Cricetulus griseus: one gene and its partners. The protein of the gene in region 4 purifies or fractionates together with the protein of the main gene of each other region. This does not show direct contact. Links are inferred from orthologs where the notes say so. Each region holds a gene or a part of one and is shown on either strand. Other genes may lie near its edges. The genes, in order: Dnajc8, Prpf3, Snrpa, Sf3a2, Plrg1, Sart1 and Ddx42.

Region 1 (3,500 bases), on a different chromosome or scaffold from region 4:
TCACATTTGGATGGGGCCTGGCTGGTGTTGCCTGTAATACTCCGATTCTGCACAGTGGTCTTATTAATATACAGGGCTTCCTCCAGTGCAGTTGATTTCTCCACATTGCTGACTCATAGTTACCTCTGATCTCCCAGCAAGCTATATTAAGCTAAGATGGTTTTTTGTTTTTGCCTGCTCAGTCATTTCCCATTATATAACTTTATAGTTTTATTCTTCCTGAGCACTGATCTAGGCTTAAACTCAGCGTGCCACCCCCCCCCCCTCCAAGGTCTTGTTTTTCCAATACAGTCCAGTAACAGTTGTCCTTAGACTTTTCCTGTAGCTAATGAACTTGAGTTACAAGTTCTTACTGACTTATTAGATGGCCTTATAATTAAGAGTACATATGACTTTAGTTTTAATTTGTTCTCTTACTTAGGAGCAGTGTGCACTTGAACACGTGCTTTGGACCTTTCTGTGTCTATTTTACCTCAGTTGGTAAATGTGTCCAAATATTTAAATCAGGTATTATATACAGTAGGCTTTCAATGGATGTCTTGATACTTTGTATATGCTAACCATTGTCCATGGATATTTGTGTGCAAATTCATTCACTTCTTCCTTTTGTTTTCTTTTTTTCTTTGATCTCTCTCCCTTCCCTTTACCATTTCCTCTTTTCCATTTACTGTCATCCCTTCCCTCTTCCCCTCCCCCCTTTCTTCTTACCTATCCCACAGGGTCTCACTTTATAGCCCAGGCCAGCCCTGAACTCAATTCTCCTCAGTGTTGAGATTTCAAGAAATGGGCCCTTATATTCAATTTATGCTCATTACTTGCATTGTTCATTTTGTCCACACAACAGACTATTTAGATGTAGGTACTTTGTATTTTTCCAGTGATAAAGCAGGAAGCCAAAGTGAAGATAAGCTGAGTTACTCAAGGTCTCGGAGCTAGCATGTGATTGAAGTTAGAATTACAAACTGTCTCTGGCACTTCAGGGGATTAACATTAGATTTTCATCTCCCAACACGGATTCTTTTTTTGCTTCAACTAGTTTCGGTCCATCTGTGACAGCAAGTCAGGAATCTTTTAAATGTCTTAAAGAATCATCTCTGGAGGTTTTCTTTTTTTAAATAGTTTATTTATTCTGTGTGAGGGTGTTGGATCTTTGAGTTATAGACAGTTGTGAGCTATCATGGGGGTGCTGGGAATTGAACCCAGGTCCTCTGGAAGAGCAGTCAGTGCTCTTAACTGCTGAGCCATCTCTTCAGTCCCTGGAGGTTTTCTTATAAAAAGTTCATGTTTTGTTTATTATTTACTGGTGTGTGTGAAGAGTTCCAGTCACTTGCATGAACTGTTGTTGAGCCTGACTTTTCTCTTCCATGTAGTTGTCTATATTGGTGCATCCTGACAAAAATCAAGATGATGCTGACAGAGCACAGAAGGCTTTTGAAGGTATTTGTAAATTTACCTGCTTTTGAATACTATATACTGTCAGTGCTAAGGAGTAACTGGTTATGGATAAGCTGTGGATTTCAGTAAAGCAGCCATTTAAGCAGAATGTTAAAGAAGTATTCCTTGGGGGCTGGGGTATAGCTCAGTGCTTGCCTGGCATGCTTGAGGCCCTGGGTTCAATCCCCAGCACTGCAAAGAAAATGCACCTTAACTTTGCTTGGTTAAAACTTAGGTGTGTACCAATATACTTTTATTACATAGGATCTTTTTTCTCTGAACATAAGTAAAGTGGGAAATACTTTATCAATGTTTTAATCTAGATGTGCTATGTCTAGTTGAGTGTATAATTTTTTTTCCTAAGACTTTCAAGGTTGTATGCTTTTTAAAAAATGAGTTTAACAATGGTAAATAATGTAACAAAGTAGGGAATGTTTTTAGACAGTGCAAGTCCATTTACACTGCCTGAGTATAGCTCAGACTTTGAGAGGGTATTTGCAGAAACAGTTAACTTCAATGTTTTGCATTAGCTGTGGACAAAGCTTACAAGTTGCTACTGGATCAGGAACAAAAGAAGAGGGCCCTGGATGTAATTCAGGCAGGAAAAGAATACGTGGAACACACTGTAAGTATTTCTAGTGCTGCTGTGTTTACAGGAAGTAACAGCAAGCTGTGGGCACTGTGTAGAAGGGTATATGCAACCTACCAGTACTGACCACGTAGCTAGTGACCACTTTTATTCTCTCTACCACTTCTGTGGTGCTCATGAATAGCAAGCAGCAAAAGCTAGCATTCTTCAGAGAGCTCAGGGTAAGGAGTGGTTAGTACACTGCCACTCCCACTCCTGTGTTGTGTAGATGGCCACTTTGGCCTCCCAACCAAGTAGCCATGCTATCCCATTGAGAGTGGAGAAGCAGCGTGGCTGTGGCATTGTTGACTCCCTGGTTTTTCTTTAGTTGCTGTGAAAGGTTTGAAAATGAGAGGCTGTCAAGGAGCTCTGAGTGGGTTGTAAAGCAGGAGGAGGCACATGTTTAGTTAATAAAAAGACTCTGAAGACTCATTTGAAACAAGTTTTAGCTTTTGTTTATTTGTTTGTTTAAAATGGGGTCTTGCTGGGGGTACAGGGTATCCTTCAACTTCCTAGGTAGCCTGGACTGGCCTTAAATTCTTAATCTGCTGCCTGACTTGCTGATCCATGGAATTCTGGATTATATGCCATTGCATCCTACAGAAAGAGCTTTCTTCTTTTTTTGGTTGGATTATTTTGAGAGTCTTATGCAGTTCATGCTAACCTCAAATTAGCTATATACCTGAGGCTGACCTTAAATTTCTTTTTAAGCCGGGCATTGGTGACGCATGCCTTTAATCCCAGCTCTCAGGAGGCAGAGGCAGGCAGATCTCTGTGAGTTCGAGGCCAGCCTGCTTTACAGAGAGAGTTCTAGGACAGCCAAGGCTACACAGAGAAAACCCTGTATTGACTATCCCCTCCCAATTTTTTTTCTTTTTAAATCTTTTAGCTATGTTTATTTATGTGTATGAGTTTTTTGTCTGCATGTATGGGCATACCTGGTGCTCAGAGAGGTCAGAAGAGGGTGACGTGATCCTCTGAAACTGGAGTTAAGAATGGTTGTGAGGTTCTGTGTGGGTGCTGGGAACTGAACCTAGATCTTGGAGCAGTCAGTTCTCTTGACTGCCAAGCCATGTTTCCAGCCCTGGCCTTGCGTCCTTGATCCTTCTTATGTCCAGCTGCTAGGATTATAGGCATGCACCACTATGCCCAGCTAGAAGGCTCCTCTCTCTCCTCTTTTTTTCTTTTTCTTTTTTTTTTTTCTTTGCCCCTTGGAGTGAGAATCAACCATTTACAAGAGCAATTTTAATGGTGAGTGTATCAGGAGTCCATCTTTGTTTTGAAGAGCTTTGGAATCTGAAGTGGAAGTTTATGGGCAATAATAATAATAATAATAATAATAATAATAATAATAAAGACAATCCATTTTATATGAAGACAATGAGGAGAAAAGTAGGAAAAGGAAAGGTGTACAACCAGGTCCTGCTGGTTGTGCTGA
Region 2 (3,500 bases), on a different chromosome or scaffold from region 4:
GCAGGGCTAAGGGAAAGAGAGAGCAACAGAGGACTCTCCCCTCCCTCCAATATGGACCCCAGGAGGGTCTGGAAAGGCAGTGTCCTGGGCCCCACCCACCCACCACACTTACTTCTGTCTCTTTGCCATCTGGGCTCTGACGTGGGCTTCTACCTTCGTAGGGTCTTGGACCGCTTCTGTTCCTAATACTCGCATTAAATTTGAGATTCTCACTACAAAGGAGAGAGGACAGCAATCAATCTCCTAAGTTATTTCTCTAGCTAGGACAATCTGTTTTGTTGTTTTAGCTCACAAACATTGCTTATTTCAAATCTCTGTTCAAAATTCACTTTCTACAATAATTTCTACCCTGAAAATCCCACTCAGTTAATGTGATTTTGTAGAAGATCAAACTATCTAAAAAATTCAGTGATTTTTATCATGAAAAAGCATTTATCTCTCATTCATCTGCATTAAAAAAACAAACAAACCCTATAAACCAGGTTGTGGTGGCGTATGCCTTTAATCCCAGCACATGGGAGGCGGAGGTGGAGGCAGACTGATCTCTCTACAAAGCAGGTTCAGGACATCCAGGGATACACAGAAATCCTGTCTTGACGTCTCTCCACTACAAAGACTTTAGTTTCATTTAATGTGTATGAATGCTTTGCCTGTGAGTATGTAAGCACAGTATGCAGTACCTATGGAGTCTAGAAAGCATGTGAGAGATGGTTCAAAGTTGCCATCTAGATGCTGGGGGAACTGAACCTAGGTCCTCTCCAACAGCAGTCTGTACTTAACCACTGAGCCATCTCTCTCTAGCATTTGTTTTCTTTTCTCTCTTTTTTGGTTTTTAAAGACAGGGTTTCTCAGTAGCTATGGAGCCAGTCTTAGAACTTACTCTGTAGATCAGGCTGGCTTCAAAGACATGTGCCACCACCCCCTCCCTGGCTATTTTTGTTTTCTTGAGACAAAGTCTCCCTATACAGCCTTGGCTGGCATGAAATTTGCCATCCCTAAACCCCAGATCTCAAGTACTCAGAAGTCGGGGGAGTGTACATGCTTAGTTCTATATTTTTGAAAAGTCTTTTTTCTTTTTTGAGAAAGGGTCATTTTCTATGTAGCCATGGCTGACCGGGAACTCAGTATATAGACCAGGCCAACCTCTGCCTCTTGATTCCTGGGATTAAAGGTGTTCATAACCATGCCCACTTTTCGTTTGTAAGTTTGGGTCTCACTGTGTAGCTATGACAGGCCTGGAACTTCCAGTGTAATACAGGTTAGTCTGTAACATGAGATCCTCCAGTCTCACCGTCCCAAAACCTAGGATTACCAGCCAGTGCCATCATGCCTGTCTATATGTTAAGAATCATGTATAAAATTCCATAAATATGGACAGGAGGTGACGCACGCCTTTAATCCCAGCACTTGATAGGCAGAGGCAGGTGGATCTCTATGAGTTCCAGACCTGCCTGGTCTACAAGAGCTAGTTCCAGGACAGGCTCCAAAACCACAGAGAAACCCTGTCTCGAAAAAAACAAAAACAAAAAAACAACAAAATAAATAAAAATACATAAAAATCCATAAATACCACAACTATTGTCTTCATGATTTTTTTTGTTTATTTTTTTCTAGAGAGAGTTTTCTATTTAGCCCTGGCTGTTCTGGAACTCACTCTGTAGACAAGGCTGGTCCCAACCTCTGAGATCTGCCTGCCTTCATGAATCTGAAGACTAGCATCCTTTCTGTAAACTGTAGGGAGCCAATACAGCAAATAATGCTTAAAAATAAGCGCTAAATGACTTCTTTAATAAAATGTCTTGATCTGTCATAAGAAAACATAGCATAGATTACAAAAAGAAAAGAAAGGAAGAAAAGAAACTGTGAATGATTCAGAGAAACAAACAACAACCCCCAACCAGTTAAAGTGCCTCTCGATGAAAAAAGACAGACTAATTGACTGACTTGACTTTTGTGGTATCAGGGCCAGCTAGACACTTACCTTTGGGTTCAGGAGGAGGCATCAGACCGAGCCTGACTTTCTCTTGTAGCTCCTTTTGTGCTTCCCTCCTTGTTTGCCTCCGAAGCTTCTTCTGTTCCTTTTTTGTAAGATATACCCCAAGGGTAACTGGTGTATCATTGTCGACTATGAGAAAGAAAAAACGAGTTACCCAAGCTTAAGATCACAGAAGTATTTAGGTAAGTACCCATCACATAGAACAACAGAGGGAGGAAGTTGAAACAGTCTTTCTTTGTAGTCCAGGCTGACCTTGAACTCTACCTACTGTTCCCACCTCAAAATTGCTGGGATGACAGGCATTCACTAACTGTGCTTGGCTTATTAGTTACTAAGTGGTGAGAGGGATAATTTGGTTACGTTTTACTAAATATAAGTATTAATCTCTGAAAAAAAATGTTCTAGGTTGTTTTTCCTTTAATAGTTGAATACTTTCACCAAATGAAATGTGTAAACCGTAGCCCTGGTAAGGATTTGGAGAGGTAAAAGTTTCTAGAATTTTAGTCAGGCAGTGGTGGCCTTTAATCCCAGCACTAGGGAGGCAGAGGCAGGCGGATCTCTGTGAGTTCGAGATCAGCCTGCTCTACAAGAGCTAGTTTTAGGACAGCCTCCAAAGCCACAGAGAAACTCTGTATCGAAAAACCAAAAAAAAAAAAGTTTCTAGAATTTCACTCAAGTCCTACTTTCTGAACTTTGCTGTTTCCACGGAATACAATTTAGAAACCATTAACCTACAGAACAATAAGTTTTGTCTTGGGAATGAAGCTATGTATGTTAACTACTATACAAATACCACCTCAATTTTAGTACTAGGAAACGGGTGGGGGTGGGAGGGATCCCTGTGGAAGGGGCTGGCTAAAGAGATGGTTCAGTGGTTAAGAGTAATTACTGCTCTTCCAGGGGACACAAGTTCAATTCCCAGCACCCATATTAAACACCCCCCCCCCCCCCCCGCCCTCCCCGTGTGTGTGTGTGTGTGTGTGTGTGTGTGTGTGTGTGTGTGTGTGTGTGCTCGTGTGTGTGTGCGTGTGTGTGTGTGTGTGTGTGTGTGTGTGTGTGTGTGTGTGTGTGTGTGCGTGCGTGGGTATTAGTATATGTGTGTATGTATATATGGGCACACATTCTGTAGACCATCTCATAGAGATGTACCTTGCCTCTGCCTCCCATATACTGGCATACTACCACTGCCAGACCTCAGTGAGCACATAATTTTATAAATATCAGCTGTTCTGTGAGAAAATTCTCAATGCTCTAAGTGACTTACTGAAGACACTCAACTACGGAAAACAGACACAACTATAACCTCTGCTGTCTCCATCTTCAACTATACACATTACTCAAGTTAAAAAAACAAACAAAAAACCTCCCTCTTTTGAGCTAGGGTCTTCATATGTATCCCATGCTTACACTGAATCACAAGTCTCTACAGTGGTGGGTTTATAGACATCTACTAACACATCAAGTTAAATCACCTCTTTTGACTGAACTACTGGACTTTTACTAT
Region 3 (4,032 bases), on a different chromosome or scaffold from region 4:
GCCATCATGCTCAGTGTCTTGATCATTTTGTGTCCCCACAGCCCCAGATTAAGGAACACTGAAAGTAAAGGACCAAGCAAGAAAAGTAGCATCCTCACGGAACACTACAGGCCACACCCACCCAGCTTCCTACAGCCTCCATAGTCAAGATGCTCACCATGGGCTTGTCGTAGAAGGGGAAACCCTGCATGGAACGCAGGGCATTCGTGGCGCTGCTGACCTCCTTGAAGATGACAAAGGCCTGGCCCCTCATCTTCAGGCTCCGAGACACCAGGATATCCAGGATCTGGCCAAACTGGGAGAAGATGGCATACAGGGACTTCTTGAGCTCTGCATTCAGGGAAAACAAGACACACTGTAACAAAAGGCCTGGGCACTGTGTCCTGGGACCTGCACTAACTATCCTTGGATGATGAACAGTTCAAACAAGGGGCCACTGCCAAGTGACAAATTACCCAGAATGCTACAGCACTACAACCCACATTCATACACACACACACACACACACACAATAAATACATAAAAATACTTGCTTCTGTTTACTATTTGTATGTGTGCTAGAATTCAGCCTTTGTAGAAAAGTAAACATTCTACTCCAGGACCTTACTTCCAGGCAAGAACGGAATTATTTGGTGTGGGGTTTTGTTTAAAATTGTACAACCTTGGGACTGGAGAGATGGCTCAGAGGTTAAGAGCACCGACCGCTCTTCCAGAGGTCCTGAGTTCAATTCCCAGCAACCACATGGTGGCTCACAACCATCCGTTATGAGATCTGGTGCCCTCTTCTGGTGTGCAGACATACACAGAAGCAGAATGTTGTATACACAATAAACAAATAAAAATTGTACAACCTTTAAATATATAGTTGTTTTGAGACAAGGTTTTTGGTTTTTTTTTTTATTTTAATTAGGAAGAAAATTACATGTCAATCCCAGGTCCCTTTCTCCCCCCCCCCCTCCTCCCCTGACACCCTCCACGCCCCCCCCCATCCGGAACTAACTCTGTAGACCAGGCCAACCTCAAACTCAGAGATCTGCCTGCCTCTGCCTCCCAAGTGGTGGGATTAAAGGCGTGAGCCAGCCCAAAATATTTTTATTTTATGTGCGTGGGTTATTTTGCCTGCAGATGCTAGAAGAGGATGTCATATGCCCTGGAACTGGAGTTACACATTATAAACCTCCCTTGAGTGCTAGGAATCAAACTCAGGTCTTCTGGAAGAGCAGGCAGTACTCTTAACCACTGAGCCATCTCACCAGGCCAAGTAGGTTTCTTAGTTGCTGAGGTTCAGAACCCAGAGCCTTACCCATGCTAGGCAAGACTACTTGTATTCCTCAGACCTTTTGGAGTCAGGGTCTTGCTATGTACCCTGGGCTGGTCTGAAGTCAAGATTCTCCTGTCTCAGTCTCCTGAGTACTGGGATTACAGGCCTACACCACCACACCCAAAGAAACTGTCTTTGGTATCTTTTTCACTCATTGTGATCATGCAGCCATCTGGGAGTTACTCTGGGAGTCCCTTTCCCTAAGTAACAGAATTACAGCCATCTGCCATTCAAGCAGTTCAAGAATTTGCTTAACAGAACCGCACACTTGTGTCCCAACCATTTTTTTCTTGGTATTTGATCACGGGCAAGTACTACCACCCAAATTCCAATTTCTTAATCTTGAGAGGCTTGTTGAGAATTAAATATCTCCAAGACTACAGAACATTGTTACATAGCATTCATTACCCGTCACTTCTATACGTTCTTTGCATCGTAACTCATCACCAAGACCAACGCCCAGAGGCCAGTGGCCAAGAGACAGTCTCATGATAGCAGACTGCGCTGGGCTTGAGGGAGAGAAAGATCCCAAAGGGCTTCCCAGAAAGGAAGGGCCGGTGAGCTAAAACCTTGAAGATTATCGACAGTGTGCAGGTTAAAGAGCAGAGTGTAAAGTGGTTAAGGGTGTATTGAGAACCAAGGGCTCAGTAGGTACAAAAGGCCAAAGTTAACTCTTAAAGGACTCAATGGCAAGGCTGAGAAAGGAAAGTGGGCGCTAGAGGTGGAAGGGGTCAGCTCATGCGAGATCACCTAGAGTTCCGGGCTATCCCGGAGGACTTACCATCCTTCTTGATCTTCTCATTGAGGTTGTTGATATAAATAGTGTGGTTGGGACGGGTCTCAGGAACTGCCATGGTGTCAGATGCTCAGAAACGGCTTAAAGGGAGAAAAAGAGGCGACTTCAGCTCTCTAACGCTTTCCAAAACTCTCTGTTCAGGGGGCTGACGGGCTCTGCTCAGGGATCCTTCCAGGAGGAAGTTGGGTGAGACCGGAATTGGGGAAGAATGGCACAGCTTGGCAACAAAGCCCGCGTAGGACTCCGCTTCTCCAGCCCGCGTGCTGGGGGGGGGGAGGACTACGAATCCCAGAATGCTCTGCGAGCCTGTACCCAGCGGCGATCCCCATTGGTCCACGCGCTCGAACGGCGTCCAAGGAGGAAAAAAAAAAAAAAAAAAGGAACCCGGATGTGGGAGCCAGTTAAGACAGCAGGGACCGATTTGGGACACCTTCGTCTCTCCAAGAGGGGCCTCCGGAAGCGACGCGGCCGAAGGCCCGACGCCAAGTGCTCCGCCCGCCTCCCCAGCGCCCGCGGGCGTCTCCACCGCGGGAATTCACCACCTGGACCGCCGCGCCTGCCACGCCACTCCGCTCGGACACACAGCTTCCCGTCCCCGGCCGCGAGACGCTGACGGCGCGCGAACTCGGCAGGCGGCGACCGCCCCGAGTGAGAGCCTCTTCCCCGGCCTCAGCGCCCGCCCGCGAAAGGGACACGCGGCTTCCCGCCTCAGCACTAGTCCCCGCCCCCTCCCCAGGTGAGCAGACCAATCAAAGGAGGCGACGAGCTCTGGGCCAATCGGGACCTCGCTAGCGCGCCAGCGCAGGCTGCCCTCTCCGAAGCCACGCCTCTTCCCCTTCCGCCAGTACCGGGGGGGGGGGGGGTCACGTGGCCGCCGGGCCGCGTCGGGAGAGCCTGGCCGGGTCAAGGCCGCTCGTTTCCCTCCGCGGGGAGCGTGTACAAGTTCCTAAGTTCCCGCTCCTTAGGCGACCCTTGACCGCTGTGCCTGCTGTCAACTCTGACCGCTGCCCACCGCTAGGCTGCTTTCCCAGCCGCGTGCCCTTTTAACCTCATGACCTCTAAGCTCCTAAGATCGACCCTAAGGTTGCAGACTCGAGCCGGAGATGTGAGATGAGGCGGGTTACCCCACGCCTTACCCCCGATCTGAGCGCCCTGAGATGTGAGATGAGGCGGGTTACCCCACGCCTTACCCCCGATCTCAGCCCCCTGATTACAGAGATGTGAGATGAGGCCGGTTACCCCACGCCTTACTCCCCCCCCCCCCGATCTGAGCCCCCTGATTACGGAAATGAAGAAAACTAGCTAGCTCTAGTCCCTCCCAATGTCGCTCCATCCCCATGGCACAGCCCGCACCTTGGGGGAGCCTTCTTCTTCGTCATTTGATTCAGCCCAGTTTCTGTTCCCACGGTTTGAAATACCCACCCAGGTTCTCCCAGACCAACTGGTCAGGCACCGTATTCTGCAATTCAACTCTAATTTTTTTTTTAAACTCTTTGTAATTTTTAATACAGGTTTCTATGTGCGGGCCACATGTGAATACCACATCCAGTTGCTCTAAAAACTGAAGTCTCCATCCTTGAGAGATTTGAGAGGATCCCCCTTCTCACCCTCACATCAGCTCTTCCTGAAGACCCGACATGACGTCTTTCCCCTTAAAGCCCACAGTCCCCCCAGTAATCCCCGAACCCCAAGACGCCAGCATTCCACCTCCTTTACCCCCAAGTACCCTGGACTTAGCTTCGCCATCCCCTTCTGTCCCGCCGCCGCCGCCGCCTCCACCCCCACCCCCACCCTTGGCTGTGGAGGTTGTTTCCCCTCATGTCTACGGCCTGGAGAAGAGCCGGCTCCTGAAGGAGGCCTTGGAGAAGGCTGGCCCAGTCCCCAAAGGCAGAGAAGACGTAAAGAGGCTCCTGAT
Region 4 (4,061 bases):
TTCATGAAATATGGGTCCTTGGAGGGAACATATGTACCCATTAGATCGCAGAGCCTGGCCCCATGAACCTGGGTCTGTAGGTGTGGGGACACTGCTCCCTCCACACCCCTACTGTAGGTACCCCCCCACCTTGTTGATGTCAATGGTTTCTAAGGCCAGCTGTCGCAGGCGTTCCCTGCGGTCCCGGTTGCTCTCAGAGGAGGAGGCCACGCCCCCACTCCCAGTCTTGCCTCCAGGTCTGTGCTGGAAGTCCATGGTGAAGGCCTGGAAGCTTCAGGGACACACAGAAACCTGGAGGAACAAAAGGGCAACAGATTCAGAACAGCACACATTCATGCAGCAAGCAGGCCTTCCCTTGCCTTCTATGTTCCAGATTGGATTCCACCTTACCCTTAGAGTGAATGTGGATTGGTGGAGAAGCAACCAGCCCAAGACCCTAGGCTAGTGTCATTTTTTTCAAGTCTCACGTAACCAAAGCTAGCTGTAAACTCACTGTGTAGCTCAGGCTAGTTTAACTCCTGGTCCCCGTAAGCACTGAAATTACAGGGGTGTGCCATTATATCTGTCTTTGGTTATGAGGTAGGTGGGGGACAGGCAGAGTCTCATGTAGCCTGGGTTGTCCTTTAAACTCCTGATCCTCCCAAGTGACTGCAGGTATGAGCCACCTTTGCCTGCTGTGTCATATTAAGATGGGGGGGGGGGTCTCTTTAAGTAGACCTGGCTGTCCTCAGAGATCCATCAAGTGTTGGGATTAAAAGACCTCACACACCCATCTGACACACAAGGATTATGTTTTTTCCTAGTCTTCCAAGTCCTGAATGTTGTCCACTAGGAAGAACACTTTAGACTGCTCATTGTCTGCCCCAGGGCCTTGGTTTAAACCCAGAGGTAAACTCAGGGACATGTCCAGGAGACAAGTGGAGGGCAGTCCTTGTCATCATTGTTGGAGCCTCATACAGCAAAAGGAATTTTGAAAATGATATCAAAAACTCCGAGGGCCAGGTAGTGTCACCATGGAGTCAGAAGGACTCAGGGCAGAGACACAGTGAGGTCGCTGGCTGTTGACTCTGGAGGAGGAAGGGGCAAAAGCCAAGGGACACATGGGCCTTAAGACGCTGGGATGGCTGAGAGCATTCATGTGTACTGAAGCTGTCTGTGGGCAGGACCAGCCTGTCTGGTCTGTTTCATGCTCAGCCACACAGGACTGAAAAAGAAAAGCACTGCCTATACCTTCGAAAGCTACCAGGAGACACAGACCCACAGATGAAGTTGGCCAGATGCAAGAGCAGAGTCCAAGGCTGGCCGCAGGCTTCCCAGAACAAGAGGGTACCTGGAGCAGTGACAGCATGAAAACCTACTCTGACTTCTGGTGTCCAGCCAGCCACAGGCTTGAGGGTACAACTCAAGGCCCCTAGAGTCTTGCTTTCACGTGTAGGGGTGTGGGCACCCACTAAATGAAAAATGCAATTCATCTGTTTTGGAGAGGCTAAAAAAAAAAAAAAAACAAGAAAACCCAGGACAAAACTAGCTTGGGTGAGCATGCGCCTTGGTTCTGGGGTAGGAGCAGAGTCTTGCAAAATCTCACCACTGAGCTACCTTTCCCAGCCTGTGACATTTTCAACCTCGGGAAACACTAGCAATTGTGGTGGGCATGGTGGCAAACACCTTTCACATCAGCTCTTGTCTTGGGAGGCCAAGGTAGGAAGACACCCGAGTTGGAGGCCAGCCTGGGCTGCACAGTAAAATCTTGTCTTAAAAGCATTTGGTGTCCTTCCAGAGGATCCAAGTTCAGTTTCTAGCACTCAAACTGGGCAACTGACAACCACCCGAAACTCAAGCTCCAGTGGATCTGGACTCATTCACATGCACAGACACACATACACACGAAGAAAAGATAGTCCCGGAAAAAGAAACACGGGGAAAGCAATGCGAACACCAGCACTTATCTTTCTGCTTCCTGACTACAGCTGCCTCAAGCTCCTGGGACAAAACTTCCCCACCAAACTGAATTGCACTCCTACTGTCAGCGGTAATAAACCCTTCCAAATTAAACAGCCAGGTGCGGCGGCATATGCTGTTAATCCCAGTCGTCCGGAGGCAGAGGCACCGCGATGTGTGTGAGGTAAGAGTTCCTGGTCGGCCAGAATTGGGCAGGGAGACACTGTCTGAAATAGAAGTTCTGCCAACGCCTGGATGCGCTCACAAGTGAGGCGTGGGGCAGGAGGGAGAACGGATGGATGGAGACGAGCTACCTCACGGACCACCATAAGATCACCGACAAACGAGACAGGGAAACGAAGTGCTGTCTGAGAAGGAGACGGCCTGGGATGGAAATACCGTTATCTTCCAGTCCCAGCAAAGGACCGGCTCGGGTGGGCGGCAGCAGCAGTCGCCAGGGCCCTGACTAACGACGAGGAAAGCTGAGGCAATCAAGGAGCTCAAAAGACCCTCAGGAACCGGGGCACGCTGGGGGCCGCAGACGCGCCACGGAAGCCCGCGATGCCGCCGCGGCCACTGGGCCGCGCGAGCGCCGCCGCGCCGCCCGCCGGCCGGCCCTTCCGTCCAGCCCCGCGCCCTCGCTGCTGCTTCCGACCCCCTTCCGAGACACCAAAGCCGGGGTAGCTTCCACCAACAAGCCGAGTAACACCTCACCGGCGCCAAAGGCCGCGCAGCCCAGGCGTAACGTCCGCGAGGCCCACGATTTCGCTGTGCGCACGCGCAGGCCGGACTAAGCAGTCACTTCCGGGGGAAAATAAGGCGGAGTTTCGGTTGTGCGCATGCCCAGAAGATGGACTCGGTTTAAAGAGGCGCGAGTGAAAGGAGCGCCGGAGTCCGAAGTGCGCACGCGCACTGAGTTATTCACGAACTCTCGCTGAGTATCGCGACAGGACGAAATCGTTATGTCTCAGCAGCCTCGGAACGCGCTTCGCTTGACAGGGGGTGCTACGGATCTAGCTTGATACCTCACGTTTAGTGTGTTTGACAGTTACCTAGGACGGGCGACTTCCTTCCTTTCTGACTCTGCGAGCAACTGCGCCCGCAGACACGCTAGCGCCCCGGCGCGCAGGCGCAGTAGCTCTGCTGGGACTTCCGGGAATGTTCCCTGAGACTTTTGTGGTGCTGAGCGCACCTTCCGAGCGGACGGCGGCCGAGAGGCAGGGCGCCCTCCGGTTCGCGCGGGTCCCCACGGCGTGATGCGGTACAACGAGAAGGAGTTGCAGGCGCTGTCCCGTCAGCCGGCGGAGATGGCGGCCGAGCTGGGCATGCGGGGCCCCAAGAAGGGCAGCGGTGAGCGAGCCGGGGCCGCGGCTGGGCACCTCCCCGGGGGGCGGAGGAGGACAGTTCCCGCTGACACCGCCCCGTGTCCGCAGTGGCCAAGAGGCGGCTGGTGAAGCTGGTCGTCAACTTCCTCTTCTACTTCCGCCCGGACGAGGCCGAGGTAGGGGCGTGGGGGGCTCGGGGGGCCCGCGCGGCCCGGAGCCGGCCGGCGCTCATGGCCGTGTCTCGCGCAGCCCCTCGGAGCCCTGTTGCTGGAGCGCTGCAGAGTGGCCCAGGAAGAGCCCGGCGGCTTCTCCATCAGTAAGTGCGCCGGTCCCCACAGTCCCCACTCCGGACTCTGCTCCGCACACCCCTCCCCACCCCCGCCCCAACCTCCGTTTGTCCTGGATCCCGAGTTTCCGGGGCCCAGCGCTGCATCAGCTGTCAAATTGCCCCCGGGTCTGGTCCCCGCTGGTGCGACCATAGTTTCTTCCCCGCCTTCAGTACCTGTTCACGGCAGGGATATGAGCAGCCTGCGCAGACTTTGTTGGTGTGGCATAAACAGTTCCTCCCGCCGGCAGGGCTTCTGAGGTTTTGAAGTGACATCTGATTCAGCCTTCTTCCTTGGTGATCTTTACAGTACCGTCCTGTAGACATTTGGCCCTCATGTCTTCCTCCATCATCACGGGGTTCTCCATCACTACCCTTAATTTCTGCTTCTTGCACGTGTATATTGAGGCCAGATGTCAATTTCTGATGTCTTCACCTCTCCCTTAAAACAATACATCAATATGTACACATAC
Region 5 (2,811 bases), on a different chromosome or scaffold from region 4:
TCCCTCAGTATGGATAATGCTGTGTTGTTGGTATTTTCACAATCAGTAGATCTTTTTATGTATTGAGAGTAGTAACCTCGTCCTTGTCACTTTTTGCAAATACTTACCAGTCTGAATGTGCCTTATTTTCCCTCTTATATGGAGAGGCATCATTTTAAAGAGTCTGAGTGTTCTGATTTTGTGTGTGTGTGTGTGGGGGCGGTAACCAACGTAAAGAAAAACAACTATTTGATTTCAGATTTGGGACTTGGCTAGTGGAAAATTAAAGCTGTCATTGACTGGCCACATCAGCACAGTGCGGGGTGTGATCGTAAGCACAAGGAGTCCTTACTTGTTCTCTTGTGGAGAAGACAAACAAGTGAAGTGCTGGGATCTTGAGTATAACAAGGTAAGCTTAGAGCAAAGGTGTTCAAACTGCATGAGCCACAGTTCATTGTGTTTATACTGCACTACTGGGATTGAATCCAGGGCCTTTTGCAAGCCAGACCAACTCTCTGCCTTGGAGCTGTATCCCCAGGCCCCAGTGTTGATCATTCTAATTTTATAACTCGGAACTTCTGCTTTTATCTTCAGGTTATACGGCACTATCATGGCCATCTAAGTGCAGTGTATGGTCTGGATTTGCATCCAACAATTGATGTCCTGGTGACTTGTAGTCGAGATTCAACTGCCCGGGTAAATGAGATGTAGCTGTGTGCTAGTTGTTGGTGTCTGTATCTTCTCATATGCAAACTTGATATTAGCATGTTATTTTCTCATAAAGAACAATAGATTCTTGATTTATCAACAGTCTGGTCTCTTTTAGGATTGGTGCCTTCTCTGTTTGTTCTGTTTGCTGTTGTCAATGTCCTGCCACTGAATTGTGACAGCTTTGTATTCTTGGCCTGTGGTTCCCAACCTGAGGGTCTTGACCCCTTTGAGGGTTGAACAACCTTTTCAGAGGGGTTATAAGACCATTCTGCTTATCAAATATTTACATAATTTACAAAATCATAATTTACAAAAATTATGATTCATAACAGTAGCAAAATTATGGTTATGAAGTAACAACAAATAATTTTATGGTTGGGGTTTACCACAACATGAGAAATTGTTTTAAAGGGTTTCAACATTAGGAAGGTGAGAACCACTGCTCTAGGCCATCACAATGTTTGTTCATTACCAGCTTAATTCTCTTGTCCCATTGTGGGACTAAGCTGATAGGTCAGTATCCTGATCTTTAGACTTCTGTCTTTCCCCATAGCACGTGGATCATTGTCTCCCATTTATGCATTCTCTTCGTTATGTTCAGATACACTGGTGTGGAAAACTTAGAGCTCTCAGGTATAAATATCTATTATTTTTCATAGCATGTTGGTTATATTTTTACAGATCTGGGATGTGAGAACAAAAGCCAGTGTCCACACTTTGTCTGGACACACGAATGCAGTCGCCACTGTAAGGTGCCAAGCTGCAGAACCACAGATAATTACCGGTATGCTAAGCTTCTCCACCCTACTGTCTCTTCATACCAGATGCACTGCCATTCAGCGCTGTAGCTCCTCCAACTCCTGCTTTGTGTTGTGTTCTAGTGTCACTTTGTATTTTAATCATGGCATTTGAAACTTATGTGTTAGGTGTTATGAAAGATGTCTATAAAACTGCCATTAGATAGTCAAGTGTTGCTCTAGAGTGTCATGACTCTCATTCTAGGGAGTTAAAGTTAGAAAATACCCTGCCACCAACATCTTCAGATCTGGTCTTACTTGAGTCTTACTTGAATGACTGGGACTTTACTGTGACAAAACATTCTTTCACTTGGTTTTGTTAATTAGAAATATAAGATGAAATAATTCAGCTTTTCCTTTCCCAGCCACTGGGGGATAAAATTACATGTTTGGTTCATTTGCTATTTATATATTTTGATAGGTTAATCAGGTATTTATTTTTCTTATTTTTAGATTTATTTGTAGAAGTGCTTTGCCTGCATCTGTGTATGTACATTATGTGTGTACCTGGTGCCTACATAGATCAGAAGAGAGTGGCAGATTCTCTGGAACCGGAGTTACAGATGGATGTGCATCACTGTGTGGGTGCTGGGAACCAAACCAGGCTAAGAAGTGCTATTCAACACTGAGCCTTCTCTCTAGTGCCTCAATCAGGCATTTTAAAAAGAACTAGATATAAAGTAAAACTGTAAGGAAAGTATTCACAGTGGTAGGACTTCTACTTAGTGTATGTTTATGTACAGAGGAGTGCTTTGTGTTTACTGTATTCTAACTTGTGGATTCTGTCATTGTCTCTCTGTCGTGTCCGCGCGCGCCCCCCCCCCCCGTGTGTGTGTGTGTGTGTGTGTGTGTGTGTGTGTGTGTGTGTCTCTCTCTCTCTCTCTCTCTCTCTCTCTCTCTCTCTGTACTTGTATTCATGTGTGTGTGTGTGTTTTCGTTACAGGAAGTCACGACACAACAATACGATTGTGGGATCTGGTAGCTGGAAAGACAAGAGTAACATTAACCAATCATAAGAAGTCAGTCAGGGCTGTGGTCTTACATCCACGACAGTAAGTATGTTTTGCTAATTAGCTTTTCTTTCTCCATGCCTTAGTGAACTCCAACATCAGCACTGCTTTTGCAGTCCTGCAGCCTGTGCTGCTTTTGGACAAACTTTCTTTAATTTTCTGTCTGCTGCTATTTTACTTCACGCCCTGTATAGAATGAAGGAGGAAGTCTCTACATAGTGACAAATAAGACTAAGTCATGCTTAAAACTGCATGTTAAAGTAGGAGGTAATAATGGCTGAGTATGTTTTACTTTTTACATGTCATAGATGGTG
Region 6 (4,119 bases), on a different chromosome or scaffold from region 4:
CAGGCTTCCAGAACAGGCTTCCTGACTGGGGAAGACTATCCTTCCTCTTGGGTCTCAGTTTCTTCCACGTAGCTCCTATGGTTGGCAGTATGACTCATCTGGCCATTCCAATTCTAACTGGCTTCATTTAGATTGAAAAAGTTTCTATAGGTAACAGCCCCAGGTGCAACCAGTCTCAGAGGAAAATCAAAACAGCATAAGGGCTACTCACTTGGTCTCCTCGATGCTAAGTGACGAGGCATCTCCAGAGCTAGTTTTGGAGCTGGCAGCTAGAACAATAAGGAGCACGGCTTAAGGAACCCATGAACATGGGACCAAGAAGCAACATCATGGTCTTCAGTTGCAAGGTCGAAGACAAGGGCCCCCACCAGCACCTGGGTAGATGACACCAGAAAACAGCAGCCTTCTTCCCCCAGGGTTCCCTGCAGCTGCTACCCAGGCCCTTATCTTTTTTCTGCATCCCTCACTGTGCCACTCCAAATCTCCACACTCTACCTTCAGCCTCCACAGTCCCTTCTGCTCTTGTTCTCATAAAGTTCTATCAAAAGAGCAAGTATCATCTCCTCCATGAAGCCCTGCTCAATTACTGACCAGAATTAAAACTCTGCCTAGAACGGCACAGCACTGCTTGTCATTTCTGGCACTTTCTGCCCACAGCAGTGTATGGAATACTTACTAGTGTGTGTTCCATGCCAGATGCTATGGACATAGGAAAGGAAGCACTCTGGACCTGATCTATCCACCCCACAAACAGGAGAGAACTTCAATAAACACTATACAGAGGAAGATGCCACCAGGATGCCCAAGTCCCCTGTCACACACTACTCACTGCTCTTTAAACCCTTCCTCCTCCACCTAGGCTCTGGACCCCATTTTCTATATGAACTCTCAAGTCTCAAGTCTCCCTTTTTCCAATTAGCAGATTATTAAAAAAAAAAAAAAAGTTTCAATTTAGGGGCTGGGGAGATGTCTCAGTGGATAAGAGCACTTGCTGTTCTTACAGAGGACCCAGGTTTGGTTCCCATAATCTATATGGCATCTCACAACCACCTAACTCATTTTCAGGGGATCCAATGTCCTCCTCTGAACCTCCACAGGCACTAGGAATGCACCAAGTGCATATTCACATATGGAGGTAAAACACTCAAATGCATAAAATGAAAACAACCCTTTGTTTACAAGTTCTGGTTCTGCATAATGCCCTGTGGTGTGTGATGCTCTTAACCACTCTGTCTTTTCAACAATCATCTCTTTGTACAGATCCTATGACCCAACTGTAGTGTTCTTGCCATTTGGCTACTCTTTATTTTTTAAGTATGTTTCTCTGCCCACAATTGAGCTATTGGCATTTACTAAGTTCTATTTCTGATCCTAGTTCTCACTCCACACACTCTAGGGCACTTTGGATTCCTGAATACACACTAGCCTCAAATCACTCTATCCCACTTAAACTGTAGGTTTTCCCATACACACTGACCAAAGCTCTCCCAAACTGGGTCATTCTCCCTTGCCTCAAATCTGCTAGTCTTCTAAACACCAACTTCAACAGATGAAAACCATTCACCAGGCGGGTAAGGTCAAAACTCCAGGAGGCATTCCCTGTTCCTCATCCCTCCCATCCCCTTAGCCCACGCACTAAATTTTGTTCATTGCACTTCCTAAACACCTATTCAATCTTTCCAGTCTCTCCACCCTACTGCATGGAGAAACATGCATACTCACTGTTAGTCCTCACCTGGTTGGGTTGACCTCCCTCCTAATCTCAGGGTCTGTAGTCCTATTTTTGACAAGCTCTCAACCCAGAGATCCTTTTTTTTTTTTTTTTTTTTTTTTGTTTTTCGAGACAGGGTTTCTCTGTGTAGCTTTGGAGCCTATCCTGGCAGTCACTCTGGAGACCAGGCTGGCCTCGAACTCACAGAGATCTGCCTGCCTCTGCCTCCCGAGTGCTGGCATTAAAGGCGTGCGCCACCAATGCCCAGCTCAATCCAGTGTGATCTTAACATATGAAGTAAATCAACCCACTTCCCTACTCAAATCCTCGACTCCCTACCGTCTTCATCACAAAGCCCAAATTTCTCAACAGAGCTTACAGCACAGGGTCCTTGGTGTTCAGACCCAAGCGTATCTTACTGCTTCATGACGATTCCACCTACTGTCAGGTTTCTCTTGCCTCTGTCTGTGCATGCTCGCACCTCCTCCTTTCGCCCACCCACCGCATTTACTGTCAAGTGCCAGACGGGAAGGGGAAACGCAAGACCCCGGTCCTTCCGAAGCTTAACATGGGGAGTCAGTCTTTAGTCCCCAACAGCCGGAGCAAGTCTTCAGCCCGAGAGGCACAGGCCCTGGCGGTCACCCTGCACCCTCCGTCCCGCGCACCCCAGGCCCCTGCCCCGCCCCCGCCCCGCCCTCACCGGCCTCGTAGCCGTCATCGCGTTTCTCTCGCTTCACGCGCCGCTCCGAGGGCTCCGCTTGACTTCGTTCGCGACCGTGCGCGCCGCCGCGGGCCTCGGCTTCGGCCCCGCGCCTCCCGCTCCCGCGCTCGCCCCCACGCTCGCGGCTCCGCTTCCGTCGTTCGCCGCCGCTGCTGCCGCCGCCGCTGCTGCGATGTTTGTGTTTCTTGTGCTCTCGATGCCGCGGCGGCTGCTCGGTGGCGCCCCCGGTACCGGCCGCCGCCGTCGTCCCCGCCGCCTCCTTCTCCCCGCGGTGCTTCTTTGACGACCCCATGACTAGTGCGTCCGTCTGGAGCCGGGCCGCCACCCGAGCCCAGACGACGCAAAATGGGAATACTTCCGGGTCGTGCGGCCGCCGCTGCGCTGTTGCCGGAAACTAAGAGCGGCTGCTTCCGGGGCCGGCCTGGGAACCTCCAGAGGCTCATGGGAGGGACGGGTTGAGACTGCGCATTCCCGGCTCCCGGGGACTGGCTCTGCGCATGTGCACCTGTAGAGGCTACGGGGTCGGCATTGGCTCTCCCGGGTTAGAACTGTAACAGCTTTGGAATCGTGCTAAAAGCCACCGTCTGCGGAGCTGGGAGCTCTTTCCCTGACCTTTCCACTCCGAGAGCCTCGTGGCGCTCTGTGCCTCAAGCCTCTTCGTGGGCGTCCCCTCCTCCAGTGATTGTCCTTCTCGTAGGCTCCCCGGGGCCGGGGATCCGTCCGGGGTTGGAAGATACCGCATGTTTTCTTCTTGAAGAAACCAGCTGCAAAGCCCCAGACTTGCAACCCCAATAAACCACTGTTGCCAGCGAATGCTACCGTCGCCCACTTTCCCTGGATTGGTAGATTGGGTCTTTTTAACCTGAGCTCTGGACTGCTACGGAACACTATGAATTTGTGCCTGTGAACCCCGTGAAATTGAGTGCTGTTTTTGTTTCTAATTTTCTTTTTAAGATAGGGTCTATATAGGTCTGGTTGGCCTAGTGCTTGTTACGTAGCCCTGGCAGGTCTCGAACCCTCTGGTTCAGCCTCCCGTGTGCTGCGAGTGGCCGGGATTTCAGGCATGCTCGCCCAAGCCAGGCTCAAGTGCAAATTGGGCAGATCCGTTTTTCTTTTGCCTGCCTGCCTTCCTTCCTCCCTTCCTTCTTCCCTCCCTCCCTCCCCCCCCCTCTCTCTTTCCTTCCTCTGTCCCGTTAACTATGTGGCCTCAGTCCGGGATTACAGGCACAAGCCACAATGCCTTGCTTTCCCAGCCTTTTCTCTCTTCCTGGGCTTTTTTATTTGGTTGATTGCTTGTTTGGTTTGGTTGTTTTGTTTTGGTCTTGAGGAGATGAGCTTTAAAGTTAAGGATTCACACACTCCCTTCTGCTACTAGTTGCTCCTCTGTGGGTTTCCTGTGTAGCACACCTCGGCGTGTTTTGGTATGGTTTTCCTGCTCCTTTACGGCTCTGCTCTACTACTGAGTCTTCAGAGGTGGACCTGTTCACTAGCATTTCTAGGTGTCCCACTCAGTAGCAGAGACAGCATGTGTTTGCCGAGGAAGGGGTGCAGCCAGGGTTCCCAGAATATGTGGGAAGTAGCTAAGTCCAGGCCACCCACTTACCACTGCCCCCCCCCCGCCCCACAATGCATAACCAACTCCCGTCAGAAGTCTCACACCATACTTGCCATAAGCATTTAATTTTTA
Region 7 (3,500 bases), on a different chromosome or scaffold from region 4:
TACCATGCTCACCCAGCTTTTGTGTGGGTTCTAGAAGTCTAAATGTGAGTCCTCACACTTGCATGGCAAGTGCTTAACCCACTGAGCCTTCTCCCCAACCTCCCCCTACTTCTGTTTTAAATGTGTTAAAACTGTATACAAAATTGTATACTTCAACCATTTTAAGTGTATAGTTCGCTTGCTGACAGTAAGTATATGCACATTATTATGCTCCCAGGAAAGTCTTGAAAAATGTTAGATACTATCCATTACAAAGATAACATAATTTTTTTTATTTTACTCTCAAACTTTCTTGTTAAACTGATAGGATCAAAAAGAGGATGAGTAGGCCAGGCAGTGGTGACGCAACACCTTTAGTCCCAGCACTTGGGAGGCAGAGGCAGATGGGTCTCTGTGAATTCGAGACCATCGAGACAAGAGCTAGTTCCAAGACAGCCTCCAAAGCCACAGAGAAACCCTGTCTTTAAAAAAGAAAAAGAGCATGAGTGACTCAAAGCAAGATAATACCTGTATTTTAGGATTAAGATGGCTGTGATAGCCATGCCTTTAATCCCAACACTCAGAGGCAGAGGCAAGAGCCTGGTCTACAGAGTGAGTTCCAGGACAGCTAGGGCTGTTAAACAGAAAAACTCTGTCTTGAAAAGCCAAAACAAACAAACAAACAAACCAAAGAATGTTGATTTTTAAATCATGTTCTAGAATTTGGTATTTCTCCCACCCACATTTGTTTTCATGTGGGGTTTTTTGGTTGTTTATTTATTTTTGGTTGTTTATTATTTGGTTGGCTTTGGTTGTTGTTGGTGGTGTGGGTATGTGTTCAATAATAGGAATTGCGCATATAGCCCTTAAGTATTAGGCAAGTGTTAAACTATATTCCCAGCCTCTTCTGTTTGTATTGTTCTAGTTTTTGTTTTTTCAGTTAGTATCTCATTAAATTACCCAGATTGGACTTGGACTTGCTATCTTCCTCCTAAACCTCCCAGGTACCTAGAATTAGAAGCCTATGCCACTAGTCATAGCTAGGTTTTGATTTTTCTGTAATAGAACACACTGTGTTGTTCAGAACTCTCTTTTGAGGAATGGTAAAAGTATTTATTAAAAGCTTATTTTTTAAAATATTATTGATGACTTTTTAGATCCATGCCGAATGTAAGCGGTTTGGGAAAGCATATAATCTCCGCTCGGTGGCCGTATATGGAGGAGGGAGCATGTGGGAGCAGGCCAAGGCCCTTCAGGAAGGAGCAGAGATTGTTGTGTGTACCCCAGTAAGTATATCGTGTTCAGTGATCTCAATCCCTCTTGATATAGAAAACGGGATTACTTTTGAGGGGAATTCTCTCTAAAATGTAAAGCTAGGTTGGGAATACCCTGGTGAGTTGCTGCCTTTTGTTTTGGTTTAATTATTAGTTGACTAAACCGCAATCTAGTTATAACATCCATGACCCATGCAGCTCCAAGTTTTTTCCTGTTTCAAACAGGTTTTCTGAGGCTCTCCTAAAAGCTGTATCTGTGGCTATCAAGAATGTGAAGAATATAAAGATACTCAGATAATGTTTAGAGGCACCCAGAGGATGTAGGTTAAACATTCAGAAGCTTTTAAGTCTTCTCAGAACATATTACATGAATGGTTCCAGCCCATTTATTCATAGAATTTATAATTAATATAAAGGAAGAGTTTGATTTTAGAATTCTATTTTTGCTCAGTATGGTGGCATTTGCCCTTAGTCCTAGCACTTAAGAGGCAAAGACAGGTGGACCTTTGTGAGCTCCAGGCTACTCAAAAACACCCTGTCTTAAAAAAAAAATTTGTTTCTCTATTTTTCTGAGGTTGTTGCATAAAGGCTGTCAGATCAGTATCTTTTTCTAAGACCAAAGAATTGACACTTTTTCCAGGAATGTAGCTGTAAATGTCTTTGTGAATCTTTTTATACTTAATATTCATTTTGTGACTCTCACAGGGTCGGCTGATTGATCATGTGAAGAAAAAAGCTACTAATCTTCAAAGAGTCTCTTACCTTGTGTTTGATGAAGCCGATCGGATGTTTGACATGGGATTTGGTATGCCTTTGAGTATTAGTTTCTTGTGTCCCTGTCCTGAAGTTAGTTTATTCCAAGTTAACTAGTACTTTTAATCGTGAAAAAGTTAAAAAATACTTCTGGATTTCAAAAGAAGGGATAGACCAAGCCATGAGCTATGTAGGTGTTTTTTGAAGGGAAGTGTGCTAGTCTTGACTGTATTGAGAAAATTTACAAGTGCGCATAACAGAGGGAATGTTTTCTCTATTCTTTATTTTTAGTCACAGGCCTTTGAAGGTTAAAGTCTATACTCTTGGGTAGGCAAATATTAAATCATGCAAGGTCCTTTCCTGGTCCCTTTGGCTTAACCAGCTATGCAAATTTCTAAATAACCATATCTACCCAGTTCGGCAACTCTGAAGTGTTTTTGAAATTTCATACTGCATGATGTCTAGGAGTTTCAGGACTTTTTTAATCCTTGGAAGTTGTGTGAATGTCACTAACGTGACTTTTTACAACTCTTTTAACACTATTACAGTATTATGTTGATTACTGTTCTGTTTCTTTCAGAGTACCAGGTTCGGTCCATAGCAAGTCATGTCCGTCCTGACAGACAGAGTATGTATGAAGCAGCTTTATAATAAAAGTATATTTATATTCAAGATGAACACCTATTCTATAAGTACTCACAGTTGTGGAAGCGAAAATTACTGTGTATACACTGATGATAACTGTAAAGGGGAGAGTTAATGACCATTTATGTGCTCTGAAAAAGACCTTAGAGGTTACTAGATAGAACTCTTGTACTTTCTGTTTTCCACAATAGTGAACCTAAGTCTTCCTGCATATTAGGCAAACACTCTACGTCTCTGTGTTACATGCATATCTCCAGGCCCCCCTTTTTTTTATCTTATTGTTCAGGTAGAGTTTTGCTAAGCTGACTAGGCTGTGCTTGAACACTCACTCTGTATAACCTAGACAGACCGTAAACTTGCAGTACTCCTGCCTCATCCTCCAAACACCTGGCACTACAGATCTATGCCATCAGGTCCAGCAAACTGCTCACTTTTTATAGATAATAAAACTGAAATTAAATAATTTGCTGCAGTTTAATTGCTGATTTGAAATCAGAGCATTTTCCTGAACCATTTTGACAACTCATTTCTTGATTGAAAATAAAGTAAAAACAAAAGAAAGAAAATCATTTTTATTTAGTTGAATCGGTTGCATTACAGAAACTTAATCAGTAGACTCAGTAAGAAATGCTTGTTATTTTGTTTTTTTGTTTTAATCTTTTAGCTCTCTTATTCAGTGCAACTTTTCGGAAAAAGATTGAAAAATTGGCCAGAGACATCTTGATTGACCCTATTCGAGTGGTGCAGGGAGACATTGGAGAGGTAATATTACACAAGTCAGGGTAGCTCCTGGGATTTTTTATAGGGACATAAAGAGTTTAATTCTTTTGTTTTGTTTTGTTTTGTTTT

What was found.
Region 1: the proteins of Sf3a2 (region 4) and Dnajc8 purify together in Homo sapiens (affinity purification with mass spectrometry; 3 studies listed by BioGRID and IntAct, with this or other methods). This does not show direct contact. The link is inferred for Cricetulus griseus from reciprocal best matches to the Homo sapiens genes SF3A2 and DNAJC8.
Region 2: the proteins of Sf3a2 (region 4) and Prpf3 purify together in Homo sapiens (affinity purification with mass spectrometry; 3 studies listed by BioGRID and IntAct, with this or other methods). This does not show direct contact. The link is inferred for Cricetulus griseus from reciprocal best matches to the Homo sapiens genes SF3A2 and PRPF3.
Region 3: the proteins of Sf3a2 (region 4) and Snrpa fractionate together in Homo sapiens (co-fractionation; 3 studies listed by BioGRID and IntAct, with this or other methods). This does not show direct contact. The link is inferred for Cricetulus griseus from reciprocal best matches to the Homo sapiens genes SF3A2 and SNRPA.
Region 5: the proteins of Sf3a2 (region 4) and Plrg1 purify together in Homo sapiens (affinity purification with mass spectrometry; 3 studies listed by BioGRID and IntAct, with this or other methods). This does not show direct contact. The link is inferred for Cricetulus griseus from reciprocal best matches to the Homo sapiens genes SF3A2 and PLRG1.
Region 6: the proteins of Sf3a2 (region 4) and Sart1 purify together in Homo sapiens (affinity purification with mass spectrometry; 3 studies listed by BioGRID and IntAct, with this or other methods). This does not show direct contact. The link is inferred for Cricetulus griseus from reciprocal best matches to the Homo sapiens genes SF3A2 and SART1.
Region 7: the proteins of Sf3a2 (region 4) and Ddx42 purify together in Homo sapiens (affinity purification with mass spectrometry; 3 studies listed by BioGRID and IntAct, with this or other methods). This does not show direct contact. The link is inferred for Cricetulus griseus from reciprocal best matches to the Homo sapiens genes SF3A2 and DDX42.

The regions. Positions count from the first base shown.
Region 1 is NC_048595.1:20,719,148-20,722,647, reverse strand, and holds part of Dnajc8 (dnaJ homolog subfamily C member 8), read left to right. Parts: intron 1-1,370; coding exon 1,371-1,437; intron 1,438-1,964; coding exon 1,965-2,059; intron 2,060-3,500. UniProt on the Homo sapiens protein: Suppresses polyglutamine (polyQ) aggregation of ATXN3 in neuronal cells.
Region 2 is NW_023276806.1:60,668,367-60,671,866, reverse strand, and holds part of Prpf3 (U4/U6 small nuclear ribonucleoprotein Prp3), read right to left. Parts: intron 2,126-3,500; coding exon 1,982-2,125; intron 213-1,981; coding exon 113-212; intron 7-112; coding exon of another isoform or gene 1-6. UniProt on the Homo sapiens protein: Plays a role in pre-mRNA splicing as component of the U4/U6-U5 tri-snRNP complex that is involved in spliceosome assembly, and as component of the precatalytic spliceosome (spliceosome B complex).
Region 3 is NC_048602.1:8,724,761-8,728,792, reverse strand, and holds the start of Snrpa (U1 small nuclear ribonucleoprotein A), read right to left. Parts: upstream 2,801-4,032; 5' UTR 2,660-2,800; intron 2,198-2,659; 5' UTR 2,176-2,197; coding exon 2,103-2,175; intron 331-2,102; coding exon 158-330; intron 1-157. Other genes in the region: CUNH19orf54 (UPF0692 protein C19orf54 homolog), read left to right, coding at 3,755-4,032. UniProt on the Homo sapiens protein: Component of the spliceosomal U1 snRNP, which is essential for recognition of the pre-mRNA 5' splice-site and the subsequent assembly of the spliceosome. U1 snRNP is the first snRNP to interact with pre-mRNA.
Region 4 is NC_048598.1:101,580,290-101,584,350, reverse strand, and holds the start of Sf3a2 (splicing factor 3A subunit 2), read right to left. Parts: upstream 2,801-4,061; 5' UTR 2,653-2,800; intron 292-2,652; 5' UTR 256-291; coding exon 130-255; intron 18-129; coding exon 1-17. Other genes in the region: Plekhj1 (pleckstrin homology domain-containing family J member 1), read left to right, coding at 3,195-3,288, 3,372-3,439, 3,513-3,579. UniProt on the Homo sapiens protein: Component of the 17S U2 SnRNP complex of the spliceosome, a large ribonucleoprotein complex that removes introns from transcribed pre-mRNAs.
Region 5 is NW_023276806.1:71,273,978-71,276,788, reverse strand, and holds part of Plrg1 (pleiotropic regulator 1), read left to right. Parts: intron 1-238; coding exon 239-388; intron 389-573; coding exon 574-675; intron 676-1,371; coding exon 1,372-1,474; intron 1,475-2,430; coding exon 2,431-2,539; intron 2,540-2,811. UniProt on the Homo sapiens protein: Involved in pre-mRNA splicing as component of the spliceosome. Component of the PRP19-CDC5L complex that forms an integral part of the spliceosome and is required for activating pre-mRNA splicing.
Region 6 is NC_048596.1:53,945,745-53,949,863, reverse strand, and holds the start of Sart1 (U4/U6.U5 tri-snRNP-associated protein 1), read right to left. Parts: upstream 2,801-4,119; 5' UTR 2,725-2,800; coding exon 2,412-2,724; intron 270-2,411; coding exon 212-269; intron 1-211. UniProt on the Homo sapiens protein: Plays a role in mRNA splicing as a component of the U4/U6-U5 tri-snRNP, one of the building blocks of the spliceosome. May also bind to DNA.
Region 7 is NC_048600.1:119,185,218-119,188,717, forward strand, and holds part of Ddx42 (ATP-dependent RNA helicase DDX42), read left to right. Parts: intron 1-1,136; coding exon 1,137-1,265; intron 1,266-1,958; coding exon 1,959-2,058; intron 2,059-2,586; coding exon 2,587-2,634; intron 2,635-3,315; coding exon 3,316-3,413; intron 3,414-3,500. UniProt on the Homo sapiens protein: ATP-dependent RNA helicase that binds to partially double-stranded RNAs (dsRNAs) in order to unwind RNA secondary structures. Unwinding is promoted in the presence of single-strand binding proteins.